Callithrix jacchus: one gene and its partners. Each later gene encodes a partner of the first gene's protein in a complex. Links are inferred from orthologs where the notes say so. Each region holds a gene or a part of one and is shown in the gene's direction. Other genes may lie near its edges.

Region 1 (4,070 bases):
GCAAGAACTGTGACTTCTCCACCCCATCCTCAATGTGTATGCTGGGTCCTAGAAATTCAAGCGTGAATAAGATGGAACGACTCCCGCCTCTGAGGATGCCCAGTCAGTGGGAGGGGGGGTGGACCCTCAGAGGGGTGCATACAACATACCCTAACACAGACTGACTGTGCCACACAGGGAGCCACAGTCTTAGTAACCGTTGGGTGGGGGGAGGGGTTTCAGGAGGGAATGTGTGCATTGGTCTTTTTAAGTTCCAGTAGTTTTAAGTTAGGGATCCTCTCCTCAAGAAAAAAAATCATACACACAGATGTGCCATATTTTGCATTCAATTTCAGGGGTTCCACGGACACACTGACACCCATGTGGAGCTCCTTAACAGTTCACACGTTTAAAAAACCCAATCCAGGGCCAGGCAGAGTGGCACACACCTGTAATCTCGGCACTTGGGAGGCCAAGGCGGGTGAATCGCTTGAGCTCAGGACCAGCCTGGACAACATAGTGAGACCCCCGCCCCCATATCTATAAAAAAATACACAAATTAGAGGGGCGTGGTAGCGTGCACTTGCAGTCCCAGCTACTGGGAAAGCTGAGGTGGGAGGATCACTTGAGCCCGGGAGGTCAAGGCTGCCGTGCACGGTGATGGCGCCACTGCACTCCAACCTGAGGAACAGAGTGAGATCCTATCTCAAGAGAAAAACAACCCGGGGGACGTGGGAAGGCAGCGTTCCCTGAGGATACTGGTTCTAGGGAGTCGGAAGCTGGGCTATGCAATTGGGGACCTCGGGAAAACAACACCCGTTGGAGCCACGACCCCAGGAGTCCAGGAAGCGAGCGCCCACTGTAGGAGGGAGGTGTCCACGGAGACCGTGAGGTAGTGAACACCACGTTGCCGGGGAAGTACAAGCGCAGGGAGGCCAAGGAGGAACTTCCAGCCTCGAAGACACTGGCTTAAGGTGTCTGAACACATTTGATAGTGTTCAGTAAAGTTATTTGCTGTTTGTGTGGTGGGTGGAGCAGGTCTAACTCCTTCCAGTTTTGGGATCCCATCTCCGGGGTTAATTCCGCGTCCCTTGAGGAGCGCATGCGCAACAGGACCACCTGCTCACAGAACCCACTGGACCCAAGACCGCGCGAATGCGCAGTGGAGCCCTGATCCTAGCCTTCCCATGAGCCTCTGGGGCAGGCTCCAAGGCGAGCGGCGGAAGCAGCCGCTCTTAGTTTCCCGCAACACGACAGCGGCTGCCGAGCGACCCGGAAGTGTTCCCATTTTGCGTTGTCTGGGCTCGGCAGCGGCCGGGCTTGGGGCTGACGCGCTACTATGGGGTCGTCCAAGAAGCACCGCGGAGAGAAAGAGGCGGCCGGGACGACGGCGGCGGCCGGGACCGGTGGGGCCACCGAGCAGCCGCCGCGGCACCGGGAGCACAAAAAACACAAGCACCGGAGTAGCGGCAGTGGCGGTAGCGGCGGCGAACGACGGAAGCGGAGCCGGGAACGTGGAGGCGAGCGCGGGAGTGGGCGGCGCGGGGCCGAAGCTGAGGCCCGGAGCAGCACGCACGGGCGGGAGCGCAGCCAGGCAGAGCCCTCAGAGCGGCGCGTGAAGCGGGAGAAGCGCGACGACGGCTATGAGGCCGGTGAGGAGGCGGGACCTGCTCAGGGGGCGGGGCGGGCAGGGGTCCCGGAGCGGGCGGGTCTGGGTGTGCGCGCAGTGGCTGCGAAGCTCTCCAGGCCGGGAAACCCCCAGACTGTCTACGTTAACTCCTATTAAATAGTTTTTCTACGGCACCTCTCGAGCCCAAGAGTTAGAGGCTGCAGTGAGCTGCAATCGCGCCAGTTGCACTCCAGTCTGGTCAAGAAAGCGAGACTGTCTCAAAAAAAAGTATTTTCTATGGTTGATTAGGATTAGAGATTGACTTTCTCCACCTAGCTCCTTGAGGACAGAGGGCTTCTGTTTTCCTCAGTTGTCTGGTACAATTACAGATCCTCAATAAATGTGTTGAATGAATGAATGAAGTAGTATCAGCGTATGCAGAGGCGAGAGAAACCTGGTATTGGAAGAATCGTGTAGGGCTCATGGTAGTGAAATGAGGGAGTAAGATAAAGATAGTTAGGGATGTGAACACAAAGGACCGTGTACCGTAGGTTCCGTTAAGAAATATAGATTGTCTTGAGGTTGGTAGGGAGCCATGGATGTGAGTTGAGGAGTGAGTTGCTCAGATCCATATTTTGTAAACATTGCTGGATTGAGAACTTAGTCAAAGGTAGTCAGGATTGGAGACCAGGAAATCAGGACTGCTAGAGACCACATGAGGGCCGATGGTAGCCTGCACCAATGCAGCAGCAGTGGGATGGAGAGAAGTGGACAGGTTGGAGAGGTGTTTTGGAGGAGGAATGAACAGAACTCAGCACTTGTATGAGACTGGGAAGGAAAAGGCATTGAGAATGATTCCTTGAATTTTGACTTGAGCAGCCAGATGAGTTGTGGGTGTCATCTCTACTGAAACTGAGGAGCAGAGAAGAGAAGCAGATTTGGAGGGGGATGGATAATTGGGGTTGTGGAGCTTGATGTGCATGTGAAAAGCCAGAGTTTGGACTGGATAAAGCCACTGGGAGTCAGTATCTGGGTGGCCAGTGAAGCTTGTAGGGCTGATGGCCCACAGGGTGTGCCTTATGCTGTGCTGAGGCGCAGGATCCAAGGAATAAAGAGACAGGACAGGCCGGGCACGGTGGCTCAAGCCTGTAATCCCAGCACTTTGGGAGGCCGAGGCGGGTGGATCCGGAGGTCAACAGATCGAGACCATCCTGGTCAACATGGTGAAACCCCGTCTCTACTAAAAATACAAAAAATTAGCTGGGCATGGTGGCGCATGCCTGTAATCCCAGCTACTCGGGAGGCTGAGGCAGGAGAATTGCCTGAACCCAGGAGGCGGAGGTTGCGGTGAGCTGAGATCGCGCCATTGCACTCCAGCCTGGGTAACAGGAGCGAAACTCCGTCTCAAAAAAATAAAAAAGAGACAGGACACAGAAGTACAGGGAAAATGCAGCTGGGCTCGAGGGGCCACGCCCCTATGAGTGGAGTCAGGTGAGGCCCCAAATGTCCAGAAGCGTGAGTGTTTGTTGTGTTTAGGTTAGGGGGCAGGGCAGTGAGTGAAGTCATCTTTAAGGATAGTGATAGGGTCGTGAGCAATAAAACAAGGGGTCCACCCCATTAGGTCACCTAGGCTGGGAGGTGGACAGTGTGCAGCAAGGCGTCCATTCCCATTAGGTCATCAAGGCAAGGGCCGTGTGCAGTAAGGGGTCCACCCCCATTAGGTCACTGAGGTATGGAGGTGGGCCATGTGCAGTGAAGAGGGTGCAGTGTGCAATACCTCTATCTATGGGTAAGCTACTAAGAAGATTTATAGGAGGATGCTTTAAGTCACATAGCAGTGACAGAGCTGTCAGGGTCTATGCCACCTGCTGGCAGCTTCCAATAAGTTCTATAGAGGAATGCTTTTCGAGCAGCACAGTAACAAGAGCTGATAAAGTTCACAGTCACCAAGGTGTGATTGCCGGTCTGAGGGCAGCCTTCCACAGGAACTGGTGCAAGGTCCTACAACTCCTTTATCAGGAGGAGTGGCTCTTGCCCCAAGCCTGCCATACAGCGGGTATCTATAATACTGAATGCTGCTGCCTAGGCCATGGATTCTTGCCCTGGTATAACATTTTTCCCTTAAATCATGCGGTGCTCTGTGTCTGCTCTAGGCATTCCTCCGATTATAAGCTGCTTATTCCTTAATTCATGCTCTGTACTGTATCTACTCTAGGCATTCCTCTGATTATAAACTTAGATATAGTTTTAATATATATGAAAATAACTGAGTGGTAAGATATTCTTTAGGCACTCATTCTATGAACTAATGTGTGATCATATAGAGAGGATTGTACAAAGGGAAATAACTGAGTAGTAACACTGTAAACAGATACTCTCCAAGCCCTAATTCTATAAACTAATATATAATCATATAAAGGATTATATAAAAAGAAATAACTGAGTAGTAACACTATAAACTGAGGTATTCTCCAGGGCTTAA
Region 2 (3,963 bases), on another chromosome or scaffold:
TCGTCACTGGTCATCAGAGAGATGCAAATCAAAACCACATTGAGATACCATCTCACGCCAGTTAGAATGGCGATCATTAAAAAATCTGGAGACAACAGATGCTGGAGAGGATGTGGAGAAAAAGGAACACTTTTACACTGTTGGTGGGAGTGTAAATTAGTTCAACCATTGTGGAAGACAGTGTGGCGATTCCTCAAGGATCTAGAAATAGAAATTCCATTTGACCCAGCAATCCCATTACTGGGTATATATCCAAAGGACTATAAATCGTTCTACTCTAAGGACACATGTACATGAATGTTCATTGCAGCACTGTTTACAATAGCAAAGACCTGGAATCAACCCAAATGCCCATTGATAATAGACTGGATTGGAAAAATGTGGCACATATACACCATGGAATATTATGCAGCAATCAGAAATTATGAGTTTGTGTCGTTTGAATCTGGAGAACATCATCCTCAGCAAACAGACACAAGAACAGAAAATGAAACACCGCATATTCTCACTCATAGGCGGGTGATGAAAAATGAGAACACATGGACACAGAAAGGGGAGTACTAAACACTGGGGTCTATTGGGGGGAAAAGGGTAGGGCCAGTGGGAGGGGGAGGTGGGGAGGGATAGCCTGGGGAGAAATGCCAAATGTGGATGAAGGGGAGAAGGAAAGCAAAGCACACTGCCATGTGTGTACCTACGCAACTGTCTTGCATGTTCTGCTCATGTACCTTAAAACCTAAAATCCAATAAAAAATTAAAAAAAAAAAAAGATTCAAAACTTTTACATTTTATGGTTTTAACCAATATAGAAAAGTGCATACTTCATAATCTTCACAAACTCCCCACAATTCTCGATTAGGAGTGTGTGTAAATCAGGAGGACTTGACGCTATGGACGACAGGATCCTGGAAAAGAACAGTATCCTTTGAGTTGAGGAGCTGAGTCCCGCCACCCGCCCAGCAGCCCAGGCCCGGGTCCGCGCGTGCGCAATGGGAGCCGGCCAGCCCGGGAGGAAGTCGGAATGCAGGAACCCCGCCCCTTTCCCGGCTTCCTCCTCCCTTCGGTTCTACCCAGAGTGCTCTCCCCAGCCACAAGTCGGCCGCGCTCTCCCCTTCAGTGCTTGGAGCTGTCTACGTCCTTTCACGCTGCGCCTGCGCGGCCCCGCCTCGCCCCACGCGCGGGCTCCCGCTTCGGTTTCCCCAGACCTGCTGGCGGCAGCCTGATCTTTTCCCGGTCCGGCCCGCTGCCCGCGGCGCCAAAACCATGGTGGGTACTGTGAAGTCAAAAGGTGGTGCCCTCGGGGAGCTCGGACGGTTGGGGCGGGGAGTCTGGCCTTTGTCCCCCTGGGCTGGAGTTTTAGGTCCTTAGTCTTGTGCCTCAAGTTCGTTGAGGAGATACCTGAAAGCAAATGGGAATTTTTTTTTTTTCCATGGGAGGTTAAAAAAACTCAACCCTGAGAGAGAGTCAATGGGGACAGCGGGAGACAGAAAAGTTAGACCTTAGAGCACTTAATCTGCCGGAGACCAAGCAGGCTTCCGGCGGGTGGGGGTGGGATATTTTCTGCAGTTCATTGAAAGGAGTGGGCAGGGACCCCAGGAAGGTGGCCGACTGAGAGAGCACACTTGGGCCGACGTATGCAGGGCAGAGCCTCTCTGGAACTTTAAGTGATGGGCTCAATGCAGTGTGTGGAATAATATAGGCTCCAGCCTTTCACCTCTGTCAGCCGATTATTCTTTCCTGTGAAGTTTTGAGAACTGTCAGAGATGCAGTGGGGTTCACAATACCAGTGTTTGGTAATACTGGCAAGGGACACTCCTCCCTACCATGTTCCTTCCCACATGATGGTTTTCCCCCTCTCACCCAATAGCTCTTCTATTCTTTTTTCAAGTCCCTTGTGGGCAAGGATGTGGTCGTGGAACTCAAGAATGACCTGAGGTAGGTACCTGTTCCAACAAGTCTGTTGGGGGTGGGTGTGCCCAACGCCCTGGAACCTCTTTAATTTGAGAACTATTTGAAGGCTGGGAGAGGTGGAAGATATAAGGAAGAAATAAATGGGTAGGGCTCAGTGGCTCAGTACTGTAATTCCAGCACTTTGGGAGGCTGAGGAGGGAGGATCGCTTGAGCCCAGGAGTTTGAGGCTGCAGTGAGCAATGATTACTCCATTGCACTCTAGCCCAGGCAATAGAGCAAGACCCCATCTCTAAGAAAAATTTAAAAATAAGTGCCTTGTGCCTTAAATTTACAGATAAGCTTGGGATTATGCTGTGTATTGGAAAACAATACAAAGCATTATATAGTTTAAAGAGTAAGTACTAGTAGCCAGGCTCCCTGGCTCTCGGGTTGGGCGAGGTGACTCATACCTGTAAGCCCAGCCTTTGGGAGGCCGTGATGGGTGGTCACCACGAGGTCAGGAGTTCAAGACCAGCCAGACCAAGATGGTGAAACCCTGTCTCTACTAAAAATGCAAAAATAAGCCAGGTGTGGTGTCAGGCGCCTGTGATTCCAGCTACTCAGGAGACTGAGGCAGGAGAATCGCTTGAACCTAGGTGGCAGAGATGGCGGTGAGCTGAGATTGTGCCACTGCACTCCAGCCTGGATGATAGAGTGAGACTCCATCTGGGAAAAAAAAAAAAAAGTAAATACTAGGCTGGTCATGGTGGCTCACACCTGTAACCTCAGTGCTTTGGGAGGCTGAGATAGGAAGATCACTTGAGTCCAGGAGTTTGAGACTAGCCTGGGCAACATAGTGAGACCTCTATTTCTACAAAAAATTTAAAAATTAGCCAGGTGTAGTGATGCATGTCTGTAGTCCCAGTTATTAGGGACTAATCCCAGCCTGAGGTGGGATGATCACTTGAACCCAGGAAGTCGAGGCTACAGCAAGCCATGATTATACCACTTTACTCCAGCCTGGGTGACAGAGGGAGACTGTGTCTCAAAAAAGAACAGGCCATAGGATGGGCATGGTGCACAGTGGCTTACACTTGTAATCCTAGCACTTTGGGAGGCTGAGGTGGGAGGATCACGAGGTCAAGAGATCTAGATCATTCTGGCCTATATAGTGAAACCTTGTCTCTACTAAAAATACAAAAATTAGCTGGGCGTGGTGGCCCGCACCTGTAGTCCCAGTTACTAGGGAGGCAGAAGCAGGAGAATCATTTGAACCCGGGAGGTGGAGGTTGCAGTGAGCCAAGATTGCACCACTGCACTCCAGCCTGGCGACAGAGTGAGACTCCCATCTCAAAACAAAAAAAGAACAGGCCATAAACAGCAAATGTTATTTCTACAAAATGAGAAGCACCCATTAGGAAGAATATAGACTCTCTGATAGAAGGTTCTACGGGGCTAGAAGGACAGGGAGAAGTCTCTCAAAAATACAGCATTTAGTCTAAGTCCTGAAATAAGATTAAAATAAAAGATACAAGTGGGAGGAGATTTAAAAGCAGTGCAGGCATTAGTTTTCTGTTTATCCTTTATTTTTTTTATTTTTATTTTTTTTGAGACAAGAGTCTGACTCTGTTGCCCAGGCTGGAGTGCAGTAACACTACTCTTATCGGCTCACTGCAACCTCAGCCTCCCGAGTTCAAGTGATTCTCTTGTCTCAGCCTCCCCGAGTAGGTAGGATTATAGCTGCCTGCCACAATGCCCAGTTAATTTTTGTATTTTTTGTAGAGATGAGGTTTCACCATGTTGGCCAGGCTTGTCACAAACTCCAGACCCCAAATGATCCACCCGCCTCATCACCCCTAAGTGCTGGGATTACAGGCATGAGCCACCTTGCACGGCCCAGACACTGGGTTTTAAATACTTGAGAATTTTTTTTTTTTTTTTGAGACGGAGTTTCGTTCTTGTTACCCAGGCTGGAGTGCAATGACATTATCTCGGCTCACCACAACCTCCACCTCCTGGGTTCAGGCAATTCTGCTGCCTCAGCCTCCTGAGTAGCTGGGATTATAGGCACGC
Region 3 (4,129 bases), on another chromosome or scaffold:
CAGCTGCTCCTCAGATGAACGAGGCCTTTAAACTCCTCATGGCTCCCTACCCACCACACCAGTGTTAATCGCTCCATCAGGGGTCTGTAGGAAAGGGAAAGAAATTTGAATCAAAAACTTACTGTTTTTTGAATAATTGAAACAACCAGTAGGGAGTGTGCAATTTGATGTCTTTTGCAAAGAATGTTTTTAGGGACAGGGCTTTTTATCCTATCATGTTTGTTCTTTGCAACTAATTATTTAATTTTAATGGCACTTTTCTTAAAATTTTTATTTACATTATATTTTATATTGCAAGAACTTCAAATACAGCCCTCTTAATAAGTCTGTAACGGTTTTGTCTTTACCCAAACTGAGCTTTTGTAGAAGGATATAAGGAAGTCTCTATTCTTTACCAAATCACATCCAGTTGCTTTCTGTCCCTGATACCAAGGGTTCATTTCTTCTGCCTTTAGCCAAAAGAGGGATACAAGGGAGAAACTCTTTATCTTAGAAAAACATTCTGCATCTTAGATTTTATAACACTTAATGGAGTTAAGGATCTGTGTTGGAAGATCTTATCACTTTGTGTATAGTGTTACAAATCATAAATAAAATAAAGTATAAGTTTTCAGCTGATGAAAGTATGTGACAGGGAAAAAGGAACCAAGTCCTGGTGTGACTGTTCTCTTCTTTTTCCTCTCCAATCCTATTAATAGCAAGAGTATTGAGAATTCATGCAAAATTCCAAACCAAGTTCCCACAGGTAGCACTTAGCTAATGTCTGCACACCATTTTCAATTGGAACTAGTTTATAATGTAACACAATTAACGTCATTATAATTCGGAGTTACTTGAGTGGTTTTAATTATTTTCGTATCAATTAACATTGCCATGGAAACAGTCTCTTGCTAAAATGGCTTAAGTCTTCACACATTTAATCAATATCCAGAGGCAGATTTAAAGACTTGAGGTGTTTGTTTTATTTATTTGTTTGCTTTAAACTATTCAAGGACGTTTCTGGGTACACACGGCAGTTACTTAAAACTGTAAATTCCAGTTTTCTATGACTTCAAGTTATTTTTTACACTGCAAATAAATCCTGCCCAAAAGATCACTTCTAGCTTTCTGGATTTTTGTTTTTGTTTTGTATTGAATTGTATTTGTGTTGTATCCGGATTTCTGTTAGAGGAATTCCTTTGCACCAATTTCGCCACTGGACAAACCAACCAGGATTCTTGGATTTGAGCGCTTTGGCGCGGACCGGCCTTTTCGGCCCCAGCGGGCTGCCGTAGCAGAGAAGAACACTGATTGGCTGAGGCAGAAAAGTACCGCTGCCTCGCCGGTTTCGGTTTCGATTCGATGAAGTCCGCGGAGCCCGGGCTCTTGGGGCACCTGTAGTGAGGATTTTGGATCCCGCCGACGAGGTGAGCCGCGTGGCTGCGCGAGCCGAGCAGCCTCGGAAACGGCCTGCGGGGAGCGGGCTGGGGCTCCGGGGAGGGACTGCTGGGTGGTGGGTCCCCGCGAAATGCCGCTTCCAAGCTCTGTGTGCACGTAATGGCCGGGAGTGATCTGTTGGTGGGCGCCTGGAACCGCCGTCAGCGAGGCGTCTACACTGCGCCGAGAGGAGCGGCACCGTCCCGGCTGGCGTCGATTTGGCGTTCGAGACTGCACGAAGTTGTTCGGAGGTTATCGAAATTCCCCAAGGGAACCCCAGCGCTAATCCCAGGATTCGGCGGGAAAGCGGATCCCGAATCTAGGCCTAGGCTTTGCCTGGATTCTTCCAGGCTTCAGAGAATTGCGAAGCCTACCCTACATCGGAGTGGCTGCGCCTAACCACAGGAATTAAGGACTGGACTAACCTGAATTACCGAGTTGTCTAGTCGGGGAACCCCTTGTATGGTCTTAAGTCCTATCGCCAGAGGTTTTCTATGTGTCCGCGTTTGTGCCCCGGCGCGTGAATAGCGGGCATTTTTGTTTAAGGTGTGTAGGATTAGGATGATTGGAATTACCCCACCCTACTGCTCTTAGTAATACGTGACTGTTGTAGAAAAATTGCAAACATAGAAGACTTTAGTGAAGAAAATAATATTCGCTGAACCCTTTCACCTGCCATCTTTTTCTCCTGTATGTACCAGCGTCTACTTGGACTAGGACTGTTCATGTTTAATTACTTAACAGTGTAGTTTTCCAGTTCCATTTAAAAACTCTTCCTAAATATTATTCTAATTTTGTATCTTCTTTTGAGTGGCTGGCCCATCATTGTGGATCCCAGTGTAGGTCCCATAAATTATTCAGTCATTTCCCGACTGTGGGACATTTGGTTGTTTTTGAATTTTTGCATCATCTTAGCATCCCAGATCATATTTTGATAAACATTTCCCCCCCATCCTGTAGATTATTTCCTTGGACTAGATTCTCAGAAGTGAAATTATCAGATAGATGCTGTCATCCATAAGGTCTTTAGGCTTTCATGCACATTGCTGCAGTGTTTTCCAAAAAAGTTTTAGAGGTGGTTGGCAGTTTTACTTGCTTGAATATTGTGCAGAAATCTTGAGAGGCTTATGTCTGTAGTGTGTATCACTGGAGTTAACTGCAGTAGACTGCCTGAATGTTAGAGCAGGAAGAGACCTAAGTGGTCATCTAGCAAAGCCCCCTTATTTTGCAGATGAGGAACCTGGGGCCATGAGAGGTGAGATGAGTTATCCAAGTCACACAGCCAATTAAGTAGCAGAGCTGGGATTAGAACTGAGGTTTCCTGCCTCCCAAGTGAGTACTCTGTGCTGCATCAGGCAGCCTCTCACTGAACTGTGGCATAGTAGATATTAGAATTTAAAAATATGTTTACATCACTTGGATTATTCTCTTTTTTAAAAGTGTACTAACAGATTTTAATCATCAGAGGGATCTTTAGTACTGAAAAATTGTAAAGTGATCATTTTCATGGCCAAGGCTAGAAATCCGTTATTTAGAATGGCAACCCCTTCAAGGCTTTGACAGTTGTTTTCAGATTCTCTATATGTTAGAATAAAAAAAAAATCCCTGATAAATTATAATCTACACTCCATCATTTGGTTAGATGTAGGTGTTGGTTCTCATTTGCTATATTTGGGAGATTTCTTTAAAACTCCTCACTTTAAGGCCAAAGAACAATGTTGCTGGTTTTTAAATTTTTTTTATTTTAGGGCTTATAGCAGAGATTCTCAACTTCCATGGACTTTTTGGCCTGGACGCATTTGTTGTGGAGGGCCGTCCTGTGCATTGTAAAATGTTTAGCAGCATCCCTGGTCTGTACTCACTAGTATAGTAGTAGCACCACCTTCCTCAGTCATGAGAGTTCATGGTGTCCCCAGATATTTCCAGCTGTCCCTGAGCATGGTGGGGGAGGACAGGGGGGATTGCCCCTAGTTGAGAACCATTTGCTTATAGAAATTATCTGGAGAACTTTATAATGTAATGTATAGTGCCTTTGCCTCAGTAGATTCAGGAATTTGCATTTTAACAAGCATCTCTAGATTTGGATACAGCTGGTTCTTGAATGACAGAAACAGTTGTTTTCTCCGTCTTTGGTGCTCATTATAGAGATTACTTGATTAGTATTTGTTGAAGTACACACTTGATATTACTAGTCACTGTACCCATAGTTTGGGCTGGTGGGGGCTGGACAGGAATTTTGCTTGACACTGGCTTTGAATGTCACTTCCACAGACTTGGACAGTATGCTTAGATACCAGGGTTACCAAGTGAGTGAGATATTTTCCCTGTCCCCAAGAAGCTTAAAATTCACTGTGGGAGATCAGTCAGCAAATGGAAACATTACAAAACGGCCTGATAAGGGCCACGACTGAGAGTGGAAAGAGGTGCTTTCAGTGGACTAACTTCGCCTTTGGAAGAGAGGGAGAGAAGAGGCCCCAGCTGCTCGGGAAGGAGGGATTGTCTTCAAAAGACAGCCCGGCTCTCCACTGTGTCAGAGGGAGGAATTTAGAGAGCTGTCCTCGGTGTCTGATTGCCTCGTCAGACACTGCTATCTTAGTATCACGCTGCAATTACTTGGGTTCTAATGTTGTTTCCTTGCAATTTTTGCTTTTCAATTTTTTCCACGCTAAACTGTTAAGTACTCTAGAGTAGGTAAAAACTTACAGGTAAACAT
Region 4 (3,970 bases), on another chromosome or scaffold:
GAGAATATGAGACATTCACAATCCAATTCCTGACTACACTTGATTTCAAACAGATCGGAATAAGTTCCAGAATATAAAATATTAACTATTTGGTAGTCATCTTGCAGGTATTTTGTGGGTATGCTCTAATTAAGAAATGCTTCCTTTTCCGAGGAAAACTGCTGAGGTTGCAAGAGTGATTCCAAAACCACAATTCTTAAGAAATCACAAGTTTAACTGAAATCATAAAGATATTTTGTAAAAAAAAGAAATCACTCCTGCTGGTGTTTTATGTATAAACCTTTTTCTAACTTCCAGCTCTCTCATGTTAGGGCACCACAGTAAATAACGTATAGGCACAGTGGCATTTTCTAGTATCATGTCTGGAAATATCTTAAACGGCACCTATAGCAGCATCTAGGGAAACTGAGGCCCAAAAGAGTTGATGTGACTCGTGCAATGACACCAATTTGCTAGCAGAGCCAAGATAAGAACCAAGTTTGGTACTTTTCTGCATCAGTCCTTTCTCGGTGCTGCAGGAGCCTTTTACTTACTAATTTAACCCTAGGGAAGGGTAGACCATCGTGGCATGGTAGAAGCGTGGATATTCATTTTCTAAGGAATGATCACACACCTTTGTCTATTTGCATTTAGTTTCTTTAAAAAGTAACAGCACCTCTATTTGGGAGTGCTTTTAGAAACAAAAGCAGAACATACGAACGTGCTTTTCATTGATGATTTACACTGTGCCGTTATAACGTGCGCAACTTTGTCCCGGGCAACTGGACTTATTTTTAGTGTTATTTTCATCTCCTGCTGCAGAAAACTAGAGATTCCCCTACCCGCACCTGCATTTCACACAACAGTACTTGTCTCTTCTCCTCCTTCACTCCTAATAAAAACACCTTATCCCGTTTCTTCCTGTCTGCTCTGCCTCGTCTCAGCAGTCTTACTTATTAACTTCCACCACACTGAAAGAAAACGCACCCTCTCACCCTCACTCTTACGCCACCTTCAGGAAGCTTCTTCCTTTTCCGTCTCTCGCTCGCTTTTGTCTGCCTCTAGGTCACTTTTGTCTCGCGCGGTTTCCGGAACACGGCCCGGAACTACAGCGAAAACACACTGCGTACGCGCGCTCTATCTTCGCCGCTGTGCGGCTTCTGTTTGATTGGCCAGTTCATTACAATTTCCGATTCGGGGGCAGCTGCGCGGCAGCAGGTCTCGCGACATTGCTGCGGCCCGGCAAGCGCAGGCCACAGCAGGGTTCTAGCGCGCCCATTCAGTTCCGCCTGCCGCCGGCACCGGTGTGTTACCCGGAACTGCCGGGCAGAGCAGCATGACGTCCGCCTTGGAGAACTACATCAACCGTATCCTCAAGGTTGCCGCCGCGGGCGTGAGCCGGGGTTACGGAGACACAGCCAGTCAGGATCGGTGGGAGGTTGGGAGACCCGACCGCGGCGGGATCTTGGGGGCGGGCGAGGGGAAGAGGACCCCGGAACGACCCATAGTTTACCGGCGGCTGCTGGAGCCTGCAGCTGCTGCGGGCCCAGGGGTCCTTTCCTTGTCGCCTGCAAAAGCCGGATAAAAACCCAGTGTGATTATTCCGAACTTTTCTCTCTTGAAAAAAAAAAAAAAAAAAAATACGTTCTTGATTCTTTACTATTTCCATAAGACTTACGTGTTCAGGTTTATAAATAAGATGAACAGTCGTCCGGGCGGCGACAGCAGTTTTAAAAATCTTTGTCTTGTTTTATTCATATAATTTGCTCATTAGTTTGAGGATAGCAAAAAGTTTAACGATGGTTCACAGACCAGGTTTCAGTCCCTTTACCACTTGAAGTCTCAACTTATTGGTAGAATGAAAAAAATGCTTGCTGTTGTATTGGATTGTAGTGAGCAGTAAGTAACAAAAAACCGCATGGGAAGTCTTAAAATAGACTTTGCAAGTGTTACCGTTTTAAAGTCTCAGGACAGAAGCACGACATTGTGCTCATGTACAAACTGGATGACAAATTAAATACCGAATGCTTTTAATCATGTGGGCATTATTGGTATCTTGTGACACTGATTATATAGTTTGTTTGCTTTTTTAATTAAAGAAGACTGTCCTGGAAGACAGTTTTTTAACATGCTTGAAAATGGTCCAACACAGATTAATTTAGTAGTCATTCAGTTTTCATTTTAGAAATGAAGAAATAGACCTTAGAAACAAAATATCCTGCCCAAAAATCATAATTGGCAGCATTCCTGATAGAAAAGTGTCAAAAACCCAGGATTTTTTTTTTTTAGTTCTGTAGTCTCTTTATTTTATTTACTTTATTTTTATTTTTAAAGAAGAAAAGAAAGAGAAAAAAGGAGTGAAGGAGAAGAAGAAAGAGGAAGAAAAAAAGGGAGAGAAAACAGGAATATTGCTTTATTCTAAAAAATGGGTATTAATAATGGCTGGTCAATATTTTGTGTATTTAAAGTGAAGAATGTATATTTTGTGTATTTAAAATGGAGAGCTCTATAAATATTGATTAAGTTTACTTGTTCCAGATCTGTGTTCAAGTCCTGGCTGCCCTCATCAATTTTCTGTCTCGTTGAGTCTAAATCTCTTTATAGGTCTTATGTATCTGGGTGTTAGGATCGTTAGCTGTTATTGTTACATTGATCCTTTTACCACTATATCTTTGTTGCTTTGAAATCTATTTTATCAGACGTGAGAATTGCAACTCCTGCTTTTTATTTATTTATTTATTTTTGCTCTCCATTTGGTTGGTAAATCTTTCTCCATCCCTTTGTTTTGAGTCTTTGTGTATCTTTGGATGTGAAATGGGTCTGGATGTAGCATACCATTAGGTTTTGGCTGTATCTTTTGATTGGGGGATTTAGTCGACTTAAATTTAGGGTTACTGCCATTTGATGTTAACTGGCTATTTTATCCATTCGTTGATGTAAATTCTTCTTTATGTTGATGCTCTTTACTTTTTTGGTATATTTTTAGAAAGGCTAATACTGGTTGTCCCTTTCTATGTATAATGCTTCTTTCAGAAGCTCTTGTAAAGCAGGCCTGATGGTAATAAAATCTCTGAGTACTTGCTTGTTCAAAAAAGATTTTATTTTTCCTTCAATTGTGAAGCTTAGTTTCTCAGAATATGAAATTCTGGGCTGAAAGTTCTGTTCTTTAAGGATGTTGAATATAGGCCCCCACTCTCTTCTGGCTTGTAGGGTTTCTGCTGAGAAATCTGCTGTAAGTCTAATAGGCTTCCCTTTGTGGGTGACCTGACCTTTCTCTCTGGCTGCCCTTAGTATTTTCGTCTTTGTTTCAACCTTGGTGAATCTAACAATTATGTGCCTTGGGGTTGCTCTTCTTGAGGAATATCTTTGTGGTGTTCTCTGTATTACCTGGGGTTGAATATTGTCCTGCTTTGCTAGATTGGGAAAGTTTTCCTGAATAATATCCTGAAGAATATTTTCCAGCTTGGATTCATTCTCTTCGTCGTATTCAGGTACATCTATCAAACGTAGATTAGGTCTTTTCACATAGTCCCATATTTCTTGGAGACTTTACTCTTCCTTTTTATCCTTTTTTCTCTATTCTTGTCTTCTCATTTTATTTCATTAAGTAGGTCTTTGACCTCTGATATCCTTTCTTCTGCTTGATCAATTCAGCTATTCAAACTTGTGCATATTTCGCTAAGTTTTCGTGTTGTATTTTTTAACTCCGTTACTTCATTTATATTCCTCTGTATATTGTCTATTCTTGTTAGCATTTCGTCAAACCTTTTTTCAAAGTTTTTAGTTTCTTTACATTGGGTTAGAACAAGTTCTTTTAACTCCCAGAAGTTTCTTATCATCCACCTTCTGAAGCCTACTTCTGTTAATGGCACACAGTCCTTTTCCATCAGGGCTTGTTCTGTTGCTGATGAGAAACTGTAATCTCCTGTAGAGGAAGAGGTGTTCTGATTTTGGGTATTCTCAGCCTTTTTAAGCTGGTTTCTTCCCTTTG
Region 5 (4,162 bases), on another chromosome or scaffold:
CAGAAGACTCCATGTATAAGTCAAGGAACTCCAAGGACTGGCAGCAGCCAGCAGAACCCAGGAAGAGGCACAGGACACACAGAGCCTCCGGAGCGAGCCAGCTCCACTGACAGCCTCAGTTCAGAATCTGGTCTCCTGAACTGTGAGAAAATCACGTTCTGTTGTTTTAAACCTCTCAGTTTGCAGGCGTTTGTTACAGCCCCAGGAAACAACAGCATTTGCCTATTTACTTTGTTTACTGTCTCCCTGAGAGCCACGAATTTTGTGTTTTGTTCATTTCTGTGAGCAGAAGCAGGCACAAAGTATATTGTTAAGTACTTAATATGCGCCAGACCTGTTTTTGTTTGTTTTGAGACAGAGTTTCGCTAGTTGCTCAGGCTGGAGTACAATGGCGTGATCCTTTGCCTCCTGGGTTCAGGCTGGAGTACAATGGCGTGATCCTTTGCCTCCTGGGTTCAAGCGATTCTGGGATTACACCACTGCCGGCTAATTTTATTTTTTTGTTTTTTGTTTTTTTTGAGACGGAGTTTCGCTCTTGTTACCCAGGCTGGAGTGCAATGGCCGATCTCGGCTCACGGCAACCTCCGTCTCCTGGGTTCAGGCAATTCTCCTGCCTCAGCCTCCCAAGTAGTTGAGATTACAGGCACGCGCCACCATGCCCAGCTAATTTTTTTTGTATTTTCAGTAGAGACGGGGTTTCACCTTGTTGACCAGGATGGTCTCGATCTCTTGACCTCGTGATCCACCCGCCTCGGTCTCCCAAAGTGCTGGGATTACAGGCGTGAGCCATCGCGCCCGATCGCCAGGCGCTGTTTTAAGTGCTTTTTACATAGTTTCACTCATTTCATCCTCACAGCAAGCAACCTTTTGGAGCAGACACTACTATTATAACCCATTTTACAGCAAACTGAGGCTCCGAGGGGCGTGGTCAGGATTCCAACCCACTAAATGATGTTCCTGGATAATTACAGAATTAGAAAACTAGGAGTCCGAAGGGCGACCTGAGGGACGTCCCAATCACCACGAGACCTCGCTGTCTCTAAGACTGCAAACGAAAGGCATTAACTGGCTTTGCCCACAGCGTGGAGCCCGAGACCGACGGCTTCACCTGCGCATGCGCTTACCCACAAAACACCCCGCGCCTGGGCGCGTTGCTCCGCCCCCTTTTGCATTACAAGTCGCGACACTTTACGGCTCTATTCCTCGTTCCTCCGGCGGGAACGCGGCCCGCCCGCCCCTTTCGCCCAGAGGGCCCCGCCGTGTTCCGCGTGGATTGGTTGGCCGCCCTTCGAGCCCAGTGCTGACTGGCTCGCGTGTCTGCCACTTTCTTTCAGCCTAGTGGCGCGCGGCGCTGCGACGACCGCCGGGAGCGTGTGCAGCGGCGGTGGCGGAAGTGGCCGGCGAGCCCGGTCCCCGCCGGCACCATGGTGAGGGCAGGGCAACGGCGGGGTCTCATCGGGAGGCGGGAGCCGCAGGCGTTGGGAGCCCTCCGGGCGGGCGCTGACGGTTGGGTTGGCGCGGGGTGAACGTAGAGTCAGAGCCTCGCGTTCCGTCTCCCGGCACGAGGCTGGGAAACTGAGGCTGGAGACTGCAGATGGCTCTAGGACGTCTGTGTCTGAGATTTAGGGTTGCACGGGCTTGTATCCGTAGTACAGCGGGCTCGCTTTACTTAGTTTTTCCCATTTTTTCCCCTCAGGTGGGGAAACTGAGGTCAAAAAAGGTGGGGGCCCGCCAAATGCAAGTTTTTGGGCAGGGAAGGGGCCCCGAACGCTTCGGGCCCGGTCAGACCTCCCAGATTGAAAATTAGAGTGCTGGGAAGTAGGGGGCCAGTCTGAGTTGTGAAACTTAGCTTTAGGAATTTCAGAGCTTGCAAGATGCATAAAATGCTCGCAGCACAGCGTCCTAGGCCTGTTGTTTTCTGTCTGAAAATCGGGCCTGGTGCTGGGGTGTGGTCTTTCTCCTTGGGTCACATAGCATGTCATTCCAGGGGAAGGGGGCATTTTGAGCAGGAGTGGATAAAGTGCATCCTCCCAATACACAGAAGGAAAAACTGAGGCCCAGGTCTCTGCAGGGCCAGATGTTTGTGATTATGGAAGTTCTGGATCTGGGCCAGAAAGTGCCCGTGTCCTCAATGTGCAGATCGGAAAACGAAGTCGGAGCTGGGAATTTCCTGGCCCATCAGCATCTGGCGCTTCTTTTTTCAGGGAGAGAAATCTAGGCCTTTGTTGGGGATGTGACTTCCAGACTCTGTGAGACAGTGGGAGATTTAGTAACCAGGAGGGACCCACAGGGGTGGCTGCATCAGAGCTGAGGATTAGTAAGAGATGCTCCCTAAATCCTGGGGTCAGTGTGTAACCACCCAGTGGGTTCACTTAGCCTGCTTCCTAGACAGAGCCGATTTATCAAGACAGGGGAATTGCAATGGAGAAAGCAATTCACACAGAGCCAGCTCTGCAGGAGACTGGAGTTTCACTCTTGTTGCCCAGGCTGGAGTGCAGTGGCACAATCTTGGCTCACTGCAACCTCTGCCTCCCGAGTTCAAGCTTTTCTCCTGCCTCAGCCTCCTGAGTAGCTGGGATTACAGGCGTCAACCACACCATGTCCGACCAATTTTTTTGTATTTTTAGTAGAGACAGGGTTTCACCATGTTGGCCAGGCTGGTCTGGAACTCCTGAACTCAGGTGATCCACCCACCTCAGCCTCCTGAAAGTTCTGGGATTACAGGGTGAGCCACTGTACCCAGCCTAGGGGATCCGAGTTTTTAAGATGATTTGGTCGGTAGGGGCTCAGGAAGTGGGGGGTGCTGATTGGCTGGAGCTTCCTGAGGTTGGAGATGGAGTCCTGAGGAGGTCGAAGTGAGATTTTCTTGCTGTCTTCTGTTCCTGGGTGGGATTCTGTCCGTGGGTGGGATTGCGGGACTGGTTGAGCCACATTACTCGTCTGGGTGGTGTCAGCGGATCCACCTAGTACAGGGTCTGCAAAAATATCTCAAGCACTGATCTTAGATTTTTATAATAGTGATGTTATCCCCAGGAGCAATTTGGGGAGGTTCAGACTCTTGAGCCAGAGGCTTCGTGACCCCTAAACGATAATTTCTAATCTTGCAGCTTGTCAGTCCTCCAAAGGCTGACTGGTCCCCAGGTAAGAAGAGGGTGTTTTCTGGAAAAAGCTATTACCAATCTTGTCTCAGAGTCAAACTATAGACTGAATTTCTTCCCAAGGTTAGTTCGGCCTATGCCCAGGAAAGAGCAAGGACAGCTTAAAGGTTACAAGCAAGATGGAGTTGCTTAGGTCTGATCTCTTTTTGCTGTCATAATTTCCTCAGGTACAGTTGTTGCGAAGGCGGTTTCAAGTGCAACAATTCAGAGAAGGGAGCCGGCCCCTCCTGCTGTGTCCCCGAGGGCAGAGTTGGAAGGGTCCATCCTGTGACAAGTTTTATGGAAGCAGGATCTTCATTTTTCTTCCCTCTATTATTCCCACTGTGTAGAACGGTGCGTGGGCAAAGTTAGAACTCATTCATTCAGCCCGTCCCCACCTTCTGAACATCCAGAGTCCCCAAGTCCTGGCTATCCAGGCGTTTCCTGGAGGAGTGGCCAAGAATGGACGAGGCGGGCCAGGTGGAGTGGCTCATGCCTGTAATCCTAGCACTTTGGGATGCCGAGGTGGGTGGATCACCTGAGGTCGGCCAACATGGAGACACCCCGTCTCTACTAAAAATACAAAATTAGCCTGGAGTGGTGGGATTACATGCTTGTAATCCCAGCTACTTGGGAGACTGAGGTAGGAGAATCACTTAAACCCAGGAGGTGGAGGTTGCAGTGAGCCTAGATTGTGCCACTGCACTCCAGCCTGGGCAACAAGAGTGAAACTCCGTCTCAGGGGAAAACAAAAAGAATGGACAAGGCCTCATGGGATACACACTTCCAGTTCCCTGTGGTCAGGGTAGGACTAGGAGTGACCTGGGTTAGCAGCCGGGGAGGGCAGTCCTGGAAAGCTTCTGGAATTAGGAGCCACTGGATTTAGTCCTCATGGGTCTAAACCTGAGAACCAGACTCCAGGTGTTCCAAGAAAGCGCAGAGAAAGGAATTCTCTTTTCTGAATTTTCTTGTGATCTTCCCTGAGCCAGGTGATGGGGCCGCTCCCATCACACTTGGCACTTTTT
Region 6 (4,292 bases), on another chromosome or scaffold:
AACCTGGGAGGTGGAGGTTGCACTGAGCTGAGATGGCACCACTGCACTCCAGCCTGGGCGACAGAGCAAGACTCCCTCTCAAAACACACACACACACACACACACACACACACACACCTGCTTTGGAAAACCCTTTCCAGGCAAACTCCAGGAGGGAACCTTCCTTCCACCTCTGGTTCTTCCCTCCTTCCAAACGTCTGGGGAGTTGTAGGTCCCTGGCTGCAAAATGGGGGGACGTCCAGGGGGCCGAAAGAGCAGCAGGGGGTGGGGTTGTTAGAAAGCTTCTGCGGAGGGCTTCCAGGGTAAGAGAAACGGCCAGGGAGCCCACTGCAGGCTTCTGATAGCCAGGTCACAAATGCACGGACACACTCATCTGGATGTGACAGGGTCACTCCTGCTGTGTCGAGGCTGGACTGGGGACATGGGGGACAAAGGCAGCCACAGCAGGGGGAGGACGGCGGAGCTGGAGGAGTGGGGCTGAGAGAGCGCCGGTGGCAGCGACGCCTTAAGAGTGAGAACTCGGAGAGAGGAGTCAAGGTTAAGGGCCGCATTTGTAGGGCTGCGCTCCTAAAGTCAGGAGAGAGGGAAGATTTGGAAATAAGAAAATAAAAAACGCAGTTAGGGCAGTGCTATCTCGTAGACTGTCCCCACGAGAACCTGAGATGCTTTGCAGCAAACGACACACGATTAACATAACGAGGGCGTGCTGGCCCTGGGCGCTGGTCACCCTGGGCATCATCTCCAGAATCCACACCATCCTCAGCCTTCCTGCGGACGAGCAGCTGACGCTCCAAGCAGGGGATTCCCTTGTCCAAGGTCACAGACTAAAAGATGGAGCAGGGATGCAGCCCCAGAGCAGGGCTGGGCTCTTGGCCACTCCAGGGCGCTGCCAGACACTCGGGGACGCGCGGGACGCCTCTGGGTTCCCCACGGCACCCCCTAGGGTGAGGCTAGCCAGCACCCCGCCCGTTCCGCCTACGGGGAAACTGAGGCTCGGCGCGGGGTGGGCAGCCGCCTGCCCAAGGCCACAGAGCCAGAGACAGGCGACCCCGGCGGCGGCTGGAGACCCCGAAGAGGACAAGCAGAACGGAGGGATGGAGTGGGCACAAGCTTCAGACCCGGTAGGAAGTGAGGGGCGCTGCGGCGGCGCAGGGCCTCCGAGGCAGGGACGGGAGACGAGCCGGGGACAGCCCCGCAAGGTCACGGCCAGGCCCCGGCACCGCCGGCCAACGGCGCGGTGACCGCGGATCCCCGAGGCTGGAACCCCCGGAGACGACCTGGGTCGTTCCTGGGCGTAGCCCGGGGGCCGAGAGGCCCAGAAGCCGTAGCCTGCGGGGCCGTCGGAACCAACGCCGCGCTCACCTGGGCCGCGAGGAGCAGAAAGGGCGCCACAAGCCGCGCCAGCGCAGCCGCCGTCGCCGCCGCCATGTCGGCCGGTGCCCACCGCAACCGTCGACAGATGTTTCCCAGCAACGCCGCGAGACCCCGGGCCACGCATGCGCCGCGCATGCGCCTGCGAAGCCGGGAGGGGGTCAAAGGGCGCGGGGTGGCGCCTGCGCAGAGCGGCGCGGCGCGGCAAGATGGCGGTGAGCGCGCGGCGGGATCCGGAGCTGGGGGCGTGGGGCTCGGGCCGCGCTGCGCGCCTCACGCGCTCTGCTTTCCCCGCAGGATAAGGAGAAGAAGAAAAAGGAGAGCATCTTGGACTTGTCCAAGTACATCGACAAGACGATCCGGGTGAAGTTCCAGGGAGGCCGCGAAGGTGAGGAGGCTCCCGCCGTCGGCACCTCGCCTTTAAAATTCTGAAATAAACCCAGGAAGAGCGATGATGAGGACGCATGCATGCGGAGGCGCCGCTTTTATTTATTCTTTTCTTTTTTTTTTTTTCTTTTTTTGAGACCGAGTCTCGGTCTGATGCCCAGGCTGGAGTGCAATGGCGCGATCTCGGCTCACTGCGACCACCGCCTCCCGGGTTCAAGCGATTCTCCTGCCTCGGCCTCCCGATTAGCTGGGATTACAGGCGCCGGCCACCACGCCCGGCTAATTTTTGTGTTTCTAGTAGAGACGGGGGTTTCACCATGTTGGCCAGCCTGGTCTCGAACTCCTGACCTTAATTGATTCTCCCTCCTCGGCCTCCCAAAGTACCGGGATTACAGGCGTGACCCACCGCGCCTGGCCTCGCAGGCCCCTCTTTAGACTACCTTATGCGGTATTCCTACTTACACCGGGAGGTAGGAACTGGTATGCCCATTTTGCATGCAAGGAAACTGAGGCACGGGGCGGGAAACAGACGGAACCCAAAGTCACAGTGGCATAGCAGGGATTGGGATTTCAGGGTTGGCCTTCTGAGCAGTCCTGTGTGTCCAAGGGCTGCCCCAGCTCCCCACAGATCTCCCGGCTTCTGTTTCTCCCCCACCCATGTCAAGATCTCTCCCGGCACCAACAGTGTGGACACATTTGGGGCCGGATCATTCTCTGGGTTGGGGCCGTACCTGGGCACTGCAGGGTGCTGAGCAGTATCCCTGGCCTCCACCAAGTCGCGACAACCTAAACAGCCTCAGACAGGGTGGGCGCAGTGGCCCACACCTGTAATCCCAGCACTTTGAGAGGCTGATGCAAGCAGATCAGGAGCTCAGGAGTTCGAGACAAGCCTGGCCAATACGGTGAAACCCTGTCTCTACTAAAAATACAAAAATTGGCTGGGTGTGGTGGTAGGCGCCTGTAATCCCAGCATTTTGGGAGGCTGAGGCGCCAGATCACTTGAGTTCAGGAGTTTGAGACCAGCCTGGCCAACATGGCAGAGCCCCGTCTCTACTAAAAACTCAAAAATCAACCAGGCATAGTGGCACATGCCTGTAGTCCCAGCCACTGGGGAGGCTGAGGCAGGAGAATCGCTTGCGCATGAGAGGCGGAGATCATGCCACTGCACTCCAACCAGGATGATAGAACTAGACTTTGTCTCCAAAAAAAAAAAAAAAAAAAAGCAGAAAGGTCTGGTTCCTGAAGGGCTCACCTGATGCCCTCAGGCCCACCCAGGCTGTTTCCCTCCAGATTGGCTTACAGTCTGCTGGTTCCCGGGCTTCAATCACAGCTGCAGAGTTCCTTGTCTTCCTCACGTCACCTGACTGCAAGAGTGACGTCTTGTCCAGTCAGTCACATGCCCCAGGGGTGGGGATTCCGAACCTAGCTCTCCAGGGGAGAGGAACCTTGGGTGCACCCACCTGCCTCGGTGCTCACGTCTGTCCCCTTGAGAGGGGACTCTGGTCAGGCCAGTGCTGGGCACCTGAACAGATGTGTCTGGCCCCATTGTGTAGGTGATGAGTTTCTTTTTTTTTTTTTTTGAGACGGAGTTTGTGCTCTTGTCACCCAGGCTGGAGTGCAATGGCGCGATCTCGGCTCACCGCAACCTCCGCCTCCTGGGTTCAGGCAATTCTCCTGCCTCAGCCTCCCGAGTAGCTGGGATTACAGGCACGCGCCACCATGCCCAGCTAATTTTTGTATTTTTAGTAGAGACGGGGTTTCACCATGTTGACCGGGATGGTCTCGATCTCTTGACCTCGTGATCCACCCGCCTCGGCCTCCCAAAGTGCTGGGATTACAGGCGTGAGCCACCGCCCCCGGTGGTGATGAGTTTCATTTTGCAGGAGAGGAACTTGAGAGCACAGAGAGCGAGCTGGGGAGGGGGGCCCAAGCCTGGGCAGTCAGACCTTCTCTGTAGGCAAAGGCTGGTCGGCAAATACCTTCAGCTTTGCATCCCAGATGGTCTCTGAAACCAGTGAGCTATGCGGGGAGAGCGGGAGACCTGCCGTGGTCAGCGCTGGAGCGGGAGCGGCGCGTGTGGTGCTGGGCCCTGGGACTTTCACTACGGGATGGGCAGCGGGCCAGGTTGGCCTGAGGGTCATGGTTTGCAGACCCTCACCCCGCACCCCTCCCTGCACATGGCTGCCCTGGGTGTGCGCGGAGCGGCCGTGGGCCAGCTCACTAGGCCCCGCCTTTCAGGCAGACAGAATAATGCCCAGGGTGCCTGCTTCCTGGGATTGGGGGATGGTACAGTGGGCAGCACCCTAAGAGGTGTGGGTGGGTTGGTGTCTGGAGAAAGCACCTGAGAGGTGGCAGGGGTGAGAAGTAGGGTGGGGCAGCCACTGGGAAGCCCCTCAGAGAGCGCAAAAGTGCATCCTCGGCAGGAGAGGCCTGGGCCGGAGGAGCCTGCAGGGGAGGGGTGAGGCGTCCCAGGCAGGGAGGATGGGCCAATCACCAGACACTGGGGAGCAGGATCAGATGGCAGAGGTCACTGC
Region 7 (4,011 bases), on another chromosome or scaffold:
ATGGAAAATAAGGCATAAGAATAGCAAAGGGAATTAAAAGCTGGATAAAGGGCAAAATAAGTCGAGAGCAGAAGCAAGGTGAAGGGGAGGGTGAGAAAAAAGGAAGATAAAAGGCAGAAGCCGAGCAGCAAAACAAAAGGAAAATAAAAAACTGAGCAAGGATCCCATGGTCGGCAAAATCCAGACCAAACTAATAAGGGGCAGCTCTTCAGGGATAGTTAAGTGCATTAAAGACAAAAAGTACCCTTAACATAAGGATGATAATCAGCTCATTAGCGCTCATGCATATGGAGGGTATATCACGCAAGAACTTAAAATTAACGCATGGAGGCGGCCCTCAAGCGCACAGAGGTCAAAGTAACTAAGCAACACACATATCAATCAAAAAGGCAGACACTGGCTAGAGATTAGGCAGCCTTGGGAAGAAAAGAAAAAAAAAACACATAAAAAGAACCAAACTACACCAAGCTGGGGGTGATCTCATCTCGCAGAGGTCAGTCTGCTCTCCCACTTCGACTGGAATACTGTGCTTACTAAGGTTGCTGCTTTGCTATCGCTGTGTGTCTCATCCAAATCTTGTTCGGGACACCAAGAGCCTGGAACTGTGAGGCACCATAAGGTAACAGCAGCTATTGGGCAGCGTGGAGTCTAGTCCAGGATCAGGCTTCGCCTACTGACTGGAGTCCACATCCCCGGGGGACGCGACGGCCAGAGGGCAGAGGTGAGCAGAATGCTCACGAGGCCCTGCCCTGAATGAACCCAAGGGGTCAGAAGGGATAACTGCAGGACTCGCATCTCCCACCCTCCGCCCTCGCTCCTCGTAGTTGCAGCAAGAGGCTTCGGGCTCAGGATCAGAAGGAGCTCATCCCGAACCCCGGGACCTTCTGGCGTCCTCACCATGCGACCGAATCTCCCCGCAATGAACAATGGCTTCAAACGAGCTGGGAGCCGGCACCGACCTCTGGCTCTCGTTCCACACCCCTTCCCCGTCCCCACATCCGCCGAAGCCCCCGGTTCTACCCCGTGTGCCTACCACAGGCGTCCGCGTGCCAAGCCGTGCTTGGGACACCGAAACCGTACCTGGGAAGAGCAAGCACACTCCCTACCGCAAACACGGAAGAACTTAACCCAGTGTTGACCACACCCCCTGGCCAGGGGCGGGGCTTCCGGCTCCTCACTTTTACTTCCGCTTCCGGTTCCCAGCGTTAACTGCGGCCGGGGTTCAGCGCTCGTACGAGGACCTAGTGGCGTCGGCAGGTTCGAGGCGATTCGAGGTGAGGGGGTCAAGCGGAGAGGCCCGCAGTCGGGGAAAGCTGTCGCGCCCCCGCCACCCAGGGTCTGGGGTCAGTGGCAGGTGAGACCATAGAGTTTTGTGGCCGGGCCTTCTGGCGGCGAGAAGTGGAGGCGCGGCTGCCTGGGGTTCGCGGTCTTGGGACGCGGGATTTGGGGCCTGGGAGTATTCGAGTCCGGGGGGTTGAGGGCAGAATGGAAGGCTCAGTAATAGGGATTTTTAGGGCCTGGGATTGGGAGACTTGTAAGCTGGTTCTTCTTGGCCTGGGAGACCCCTGAAAGTCTAACTCTGTTGCCTCCCACCCCCGCGCTCCTGTGTAGCTCCAGCTAGGATGATCGAGGTTGTTTGCAATGACCGTCTGGGGAAGAAGGTCCGCGTTAAATGCAAGTATCCACTGGCAGCCGAGAGGCAGTGGTACCCGCAGGGGTGCTTGACGTGAGGCGGGTAACTCAATCTGTGTTGTCGGAGGGCTTTAGTTAAACCCGGGAGAGGCCGAGCGCGGTGGTTCACCCCTGTAATCCCAGCACTTCGGTAGGCCGAGGCGGGCTGATCACGGGGTTAACAGATTGAGACCATTCTGGCCAACATGGTATTTTTAGTCTCTACTAAAAATACAAAAATTAGCTGGGCCTGTTGGCGGACACCTGTAGTCCCAGCTACTTGGGAGGCTGAGACAGGAAAATCGCTTGAACCCGGGAGGCGGAGTTTGCAGTGAGCGGAGATCCTGCCACTGCATTCCAAAAAAAAAACAACAAAAAATGGGGAGAAGAGGGGATAGGGTTCTGGCAAATGGTGTGCAGCCCCAGAATGTCCTCTTCCGTGTTCTACCGCTCCCATTTGCCTTAATTCCTCTGCGCCCAGCACGGATGATACCATCGGGGACCTTAAGAAGTTGATTGCAGCCCAAACTGGCACCCGTTGGAACAAGATTGTTCTGAAGAAGTGGTGAGTGCAGTGGTAGAGCCACGAGGTGGACTGGTCTAGGCCTGAAGGTTTTGGTTGTGGGAGCGCAGCAGGCAGCTCTTTGCTACCCTCAGTCTGCCTCCAGGCTGAAGAGCCCCTTTAGCCTTGTCTCTTAAAGGTTTCTTTTCCTTAGGTACACGATTTTTAAGGACCACGTGTCTCTGGGGGACTGTATCCTTTGTGTGACTTTTTGAGGCAGCATCTACATACCCAGCCTCGGTTATCTTTGTTCGAAATTAAAGTCTGCATGAGATTATGCATATTAAGTGTTTAACTTACTATGTGGCACATGGTGAGCACTTAGAAAATAGGAGGAGCTAGGTAATTATTTGGTTGGGGAGGAGGGTGGTTGACTGGTGAAATAGTTTGACTTCAAGTTCAAAATACTTATTTTTGAGCTCCACCTGAGTGCTGGACAGTAGGTCAAGGTGGAGTGAGACTCAGGCATATCTATTGTACAGAAGGTACAGAACCTTATTATTATTTATTTATTTAAAAAAATTTTTTTAAGACAGGGTTTCACCATGTTGGTCAGGCTGGTCTTGAACTCCCAACCTCAGGTGATCTGCCCACCTTGGCCTCCAAAGTGCTTGGATTACAGGCATGAGCCACCACACCAGCCACCTTATTTTATTTATTTAGTGTTTTGAGACAGCCTGGAGTGTAGTGGTGCGATCTTGGCTCATTGCAACCTCCACCTTCTGGGTTCAAGCAATTCTGCCTCATCCTCCCAAGAAGCTGGGATTACAGGCATGTGCCACCACTCCCTGCTAGTTTTTGTATTTTTAGTAGAAATGGGGTTCCACCATGTTTGGCCTCAAGTGATCCTCCCGCTTTGGCCTCCCAAATTGCTGGGATTGTAGGTATGAGCTATTGGGTCTGGCCTAGAAGGAACAGAAACTTTTTTTTTTTTTTTTTTTGAGACAGAGTTTCGATCTTGTTCCCCAGGCTGGAGTGCAGAGGCACAATCTTGGCTTACTGCAGCCTTTACTTCCTGGGTTCAAGAAATTCTCTTGTCTCAGCCTCCTGAGTAGCTGGTATTACAGGCACCTGCCACCACGCCCAGCTGATTTTTTGTATTTTTAGTAGAGATGGGGTTTCACTGTGTTGGTCAGGCTGGTGTTGAACTCCCAACCTCAGGTGATCCGCCCACCTTGGCCTCCAAAGTGCTTGGATTACAGGTGTGAACCACCATGCCCGGCCCAGAAATTTTTTTGTAAAGTTTCAGTTCTCTCCAAATAAAAATGACCCAGTCCAAAATGGTCTTTTTTAGCCCTGGGCTGAGACCTTAGGCCACCCTGACCCAGTTGTGAATGAATGAAAGGAGTGGGGATGGAACACAGAGTCAAGATTCCTTAACACCTTTCCTTCAGATGAAATCCACGATGGGATGAACCTGGAGCTTTATTATCAATAGATGAGAATTCTCATCTTCCTGCTGCCCCACTCTCCCCTCCCATCCTCACCCCCCACACTGGGATAGATGCTTGTTTGTAAAAACTCACCTTAATAAAGACTTAGATGTTCTTTGTTGTCTCTTTACATGAGAGCTGTCTAGTGATGGGTAGATTGGTCGCTCTTTGGTCATTTCTGTATCATCAATGTGCATCTGCTAAAATAAGGGTTCCAAATCAACTGGATCCATGAAGGCAGAGTAGATCAGCAGGCCGGGAGTCTGAGGGAGCCCAAAGAGAGCTCTGGGCTTTGCTGTGGGTGTGCGAAGGTCAACAGGCCCTAGGATTATAGTTACCCTAATA

Evidence for each region.
Region 2: SART1 (region 1) and LSM2 share a complex: the UniProt entries of both Homo sapiens proteins name them as parts of the U4/U6-U5 tri-snRNP complex. The link is inferred for Callithrix jacchus from reciprocal best matches to the Homo sapiens genes SART1 and LSM2.
Region 3: SART1 (region 1) and LSM6 share a complex: the UniProt entries of both Homo sapiens proteins name them as parts of the U4/U6-U5 tri-snRNP complex. The link is inferred for Callithrix jacchus from reciprocal best matches to the Homo sapiens genes SART1 and LSM6.
Region 4: SART1 (region 1) and LSM8 share a complex: the UniProt entries of both Homo sapiens proteins name them as parts of the U4/U6-U5 tri-snRNP complex. The link is inferred for Callithrix jacchus from reciprocal best matches to the Homo sapiens genes SART1 and LSM8.
Region 5: SART1 (region 1) and LSM4 share a complex: the UniProt entries of both Homo sapiens proteins name them as parts of the U4/U6-U5 tri-snRNP complex. The link is inferred for Callithrix jacchus from reciprocal best matches to the Homo sapiens genes SART1 and LSM4.
Region 6: SART1 (region 1) and LSM7 share a complex: the UniProt entries of both Homo sapiens proteins name them as parts of the U4/U6-U5 tri-snRNP complex. The link is inferred for Callithrix jacchus from reciprocal best matches to the Homo sapiens genes SART1 and LSM7.
Region 7: the proteins of SART1 (region 1) and UBL5 are in contact, whole or in part, in a crystal structure (PDB 4PYU), measured with the Homo sapiens proteins. The link is inferred for Callithrix jacchus from reciprocal best matches to the Homo sapiens genes SART1 and UBL5. Residues at the interface, in NP_005137.1 of Homo sapiens: Ser117, Leu118, Ser119, Ile120, Thr123, Leu126, Arg127, Leu130, Leu132, Lys133, Leu135; in NP_001041706.1 of Homo sapiens: Met1, Glu3, Arg15, Lys17, Cys18, Asn19, Asp21, Asp22, Asp26, Lys29, Leu30, Ala33, Gln34.

Annotation. Positions count from the first base shown.
Region 1 is NC_133511.1:123,038,019-123,042,088, forward strand, and holds the start of SART1 (U4/U6.U5 tri-snRNP-associated protein 1), read left to right. Parts: upstream 1-1,270; 5' UTR 1,271-1,318; coding exon 1,319-1,631; intron 1,632-4,070. UniProt on the Homo sapiens protein: Plays a role in mRNA splicing as a component of the U4/U6-U5 tri-snRNP, one of the building blocks of the spliceosome. May also bind to DNA.
Region 2 is NC_133505.1:39,306,746-39,310,708, reverse strand, and holds the start of LSM2 (U6 snRNA-associated Sm-like protein LSm2), read left to right. Parts: upstream 1-1,163; 5' UTR 1,164-1,263; coding exon 1,264-1,266; exon of another isoform or gene 1,267-1,398; intron 1,399-1,867; coding exon 1,868-1,935; intron 1,936-3,963. UniProt on the Homo sapiens protein: Plays a role in pre-mRNA splicing as component of the U4/U6-U5 tri-snRNP complex that is involved in spliceosome assembly, and as component of the precatalytic spliceosome (spliceosome B complex).
Region 3 is NC_133504.1:50,820,501-50,824,629, reverse strand, and holds the start of LSM6 (U6 snRNA-associated Sm-like protein LSm6), read left to right. Parts: upstream 1-1,329; 5' UTR 1,330-1,962; intron 1,963-4,129. UniProt on the Homo sapiens protein: Plays a role in pre-mRNA splicing as component of the U4/U6-U5 tri-snRNP complex that is involved in spliceosome assembly, and as component of the precatalytic spliceosome (spliceosome B complex).
Region 4 is NC_133512.1:88,800,659-88,804,628, forward strand, and holds the start of LSM8 (LSM8 homolog, U6 small nuclear RNA associated), read left to right. Parts: upstream 1-1,170; 5' UTR 1,171-1,315; coding exon 1,316-1,346; intron 1,347-3,970. UniProt on the Homo sapiens protein: Plays a role in pre-mRNA splicing as component of the U4/U6-U5 tri-snRNP complex that is involved in spliceosome assembly, and as component of the precatalytic spliceosome (spliceosome B complex).
Region 5 is NC_133523.1:17,038,834-17,042,995, reverse strand, and holds the start of LSM4 (U6 snRNA-associated Sm-like protein LSm4), read left to right. Parts: upstream 1-1,362; 5' UTR 1,363-1,424; coding exon 1,425-1,427; intron 1,428-4,162. UniProt on the Homo sapiens protein: Plays a role in pre-mRNA splicing as component of the U4/U6-U5 tri-snRNP complex that is involved in spliceosome assembly, and as component of the precatalytic spliceosome (spliceosome B complex).
Region 6 is NC_133523.1:2,193,180-2,197,471, reverse strand, and holds the start of LSM7 (U6 snRNA-associated Sm-like protein LSm7), read left to right. Parts: upstream 1-1,492; 5' UTR 1,493-1,496; coding exon 1,497-1,586; intron 1,587-1,668; coding exon 1,669-1,759; intron 1,760-4,292. Other genes in the region: SPPL2B (signal peptide peptidase-like 2B), read right to left, coding at 1,363-1,428. UniProt on the Homo sapiens protein: Plays a role in pre-mRNA splicing as component of the U4/U6-U5 tri-snRNP complex that is involved in spliceosome assembly, and as component of the precatalytic spliceosome (spliceosome B complex).
Region 7 is NC_133523.1:9,021,370-9,025,380, forward strand, and holds UBL5 (ubiquitin-like protein 5), read left to right. Parts: upstream 1-1,211; 5' UTR 1,212-1,354; intron 1,355-1,611; 5' UTR 1,612-1,622; coding exon 1,623-1,678; intron 1,679-2,152; coding exon 2,153-2,236; intron 2,237-2,387; coding exon 2,388-2,425; intron 2,426-3,627; coding exon 3,628-3,671; 3' UTR 3,672-3,781; downstream 3,782-4,011. UniProt on the Homo sapiens protein: Ubiquitin-like protein that plays a role in cell proliferation and sister chromatid cohesion by associating with spliceosomal proteins. Participates thereby in pre-mRNA splicing by maintaining spliceosome integrity.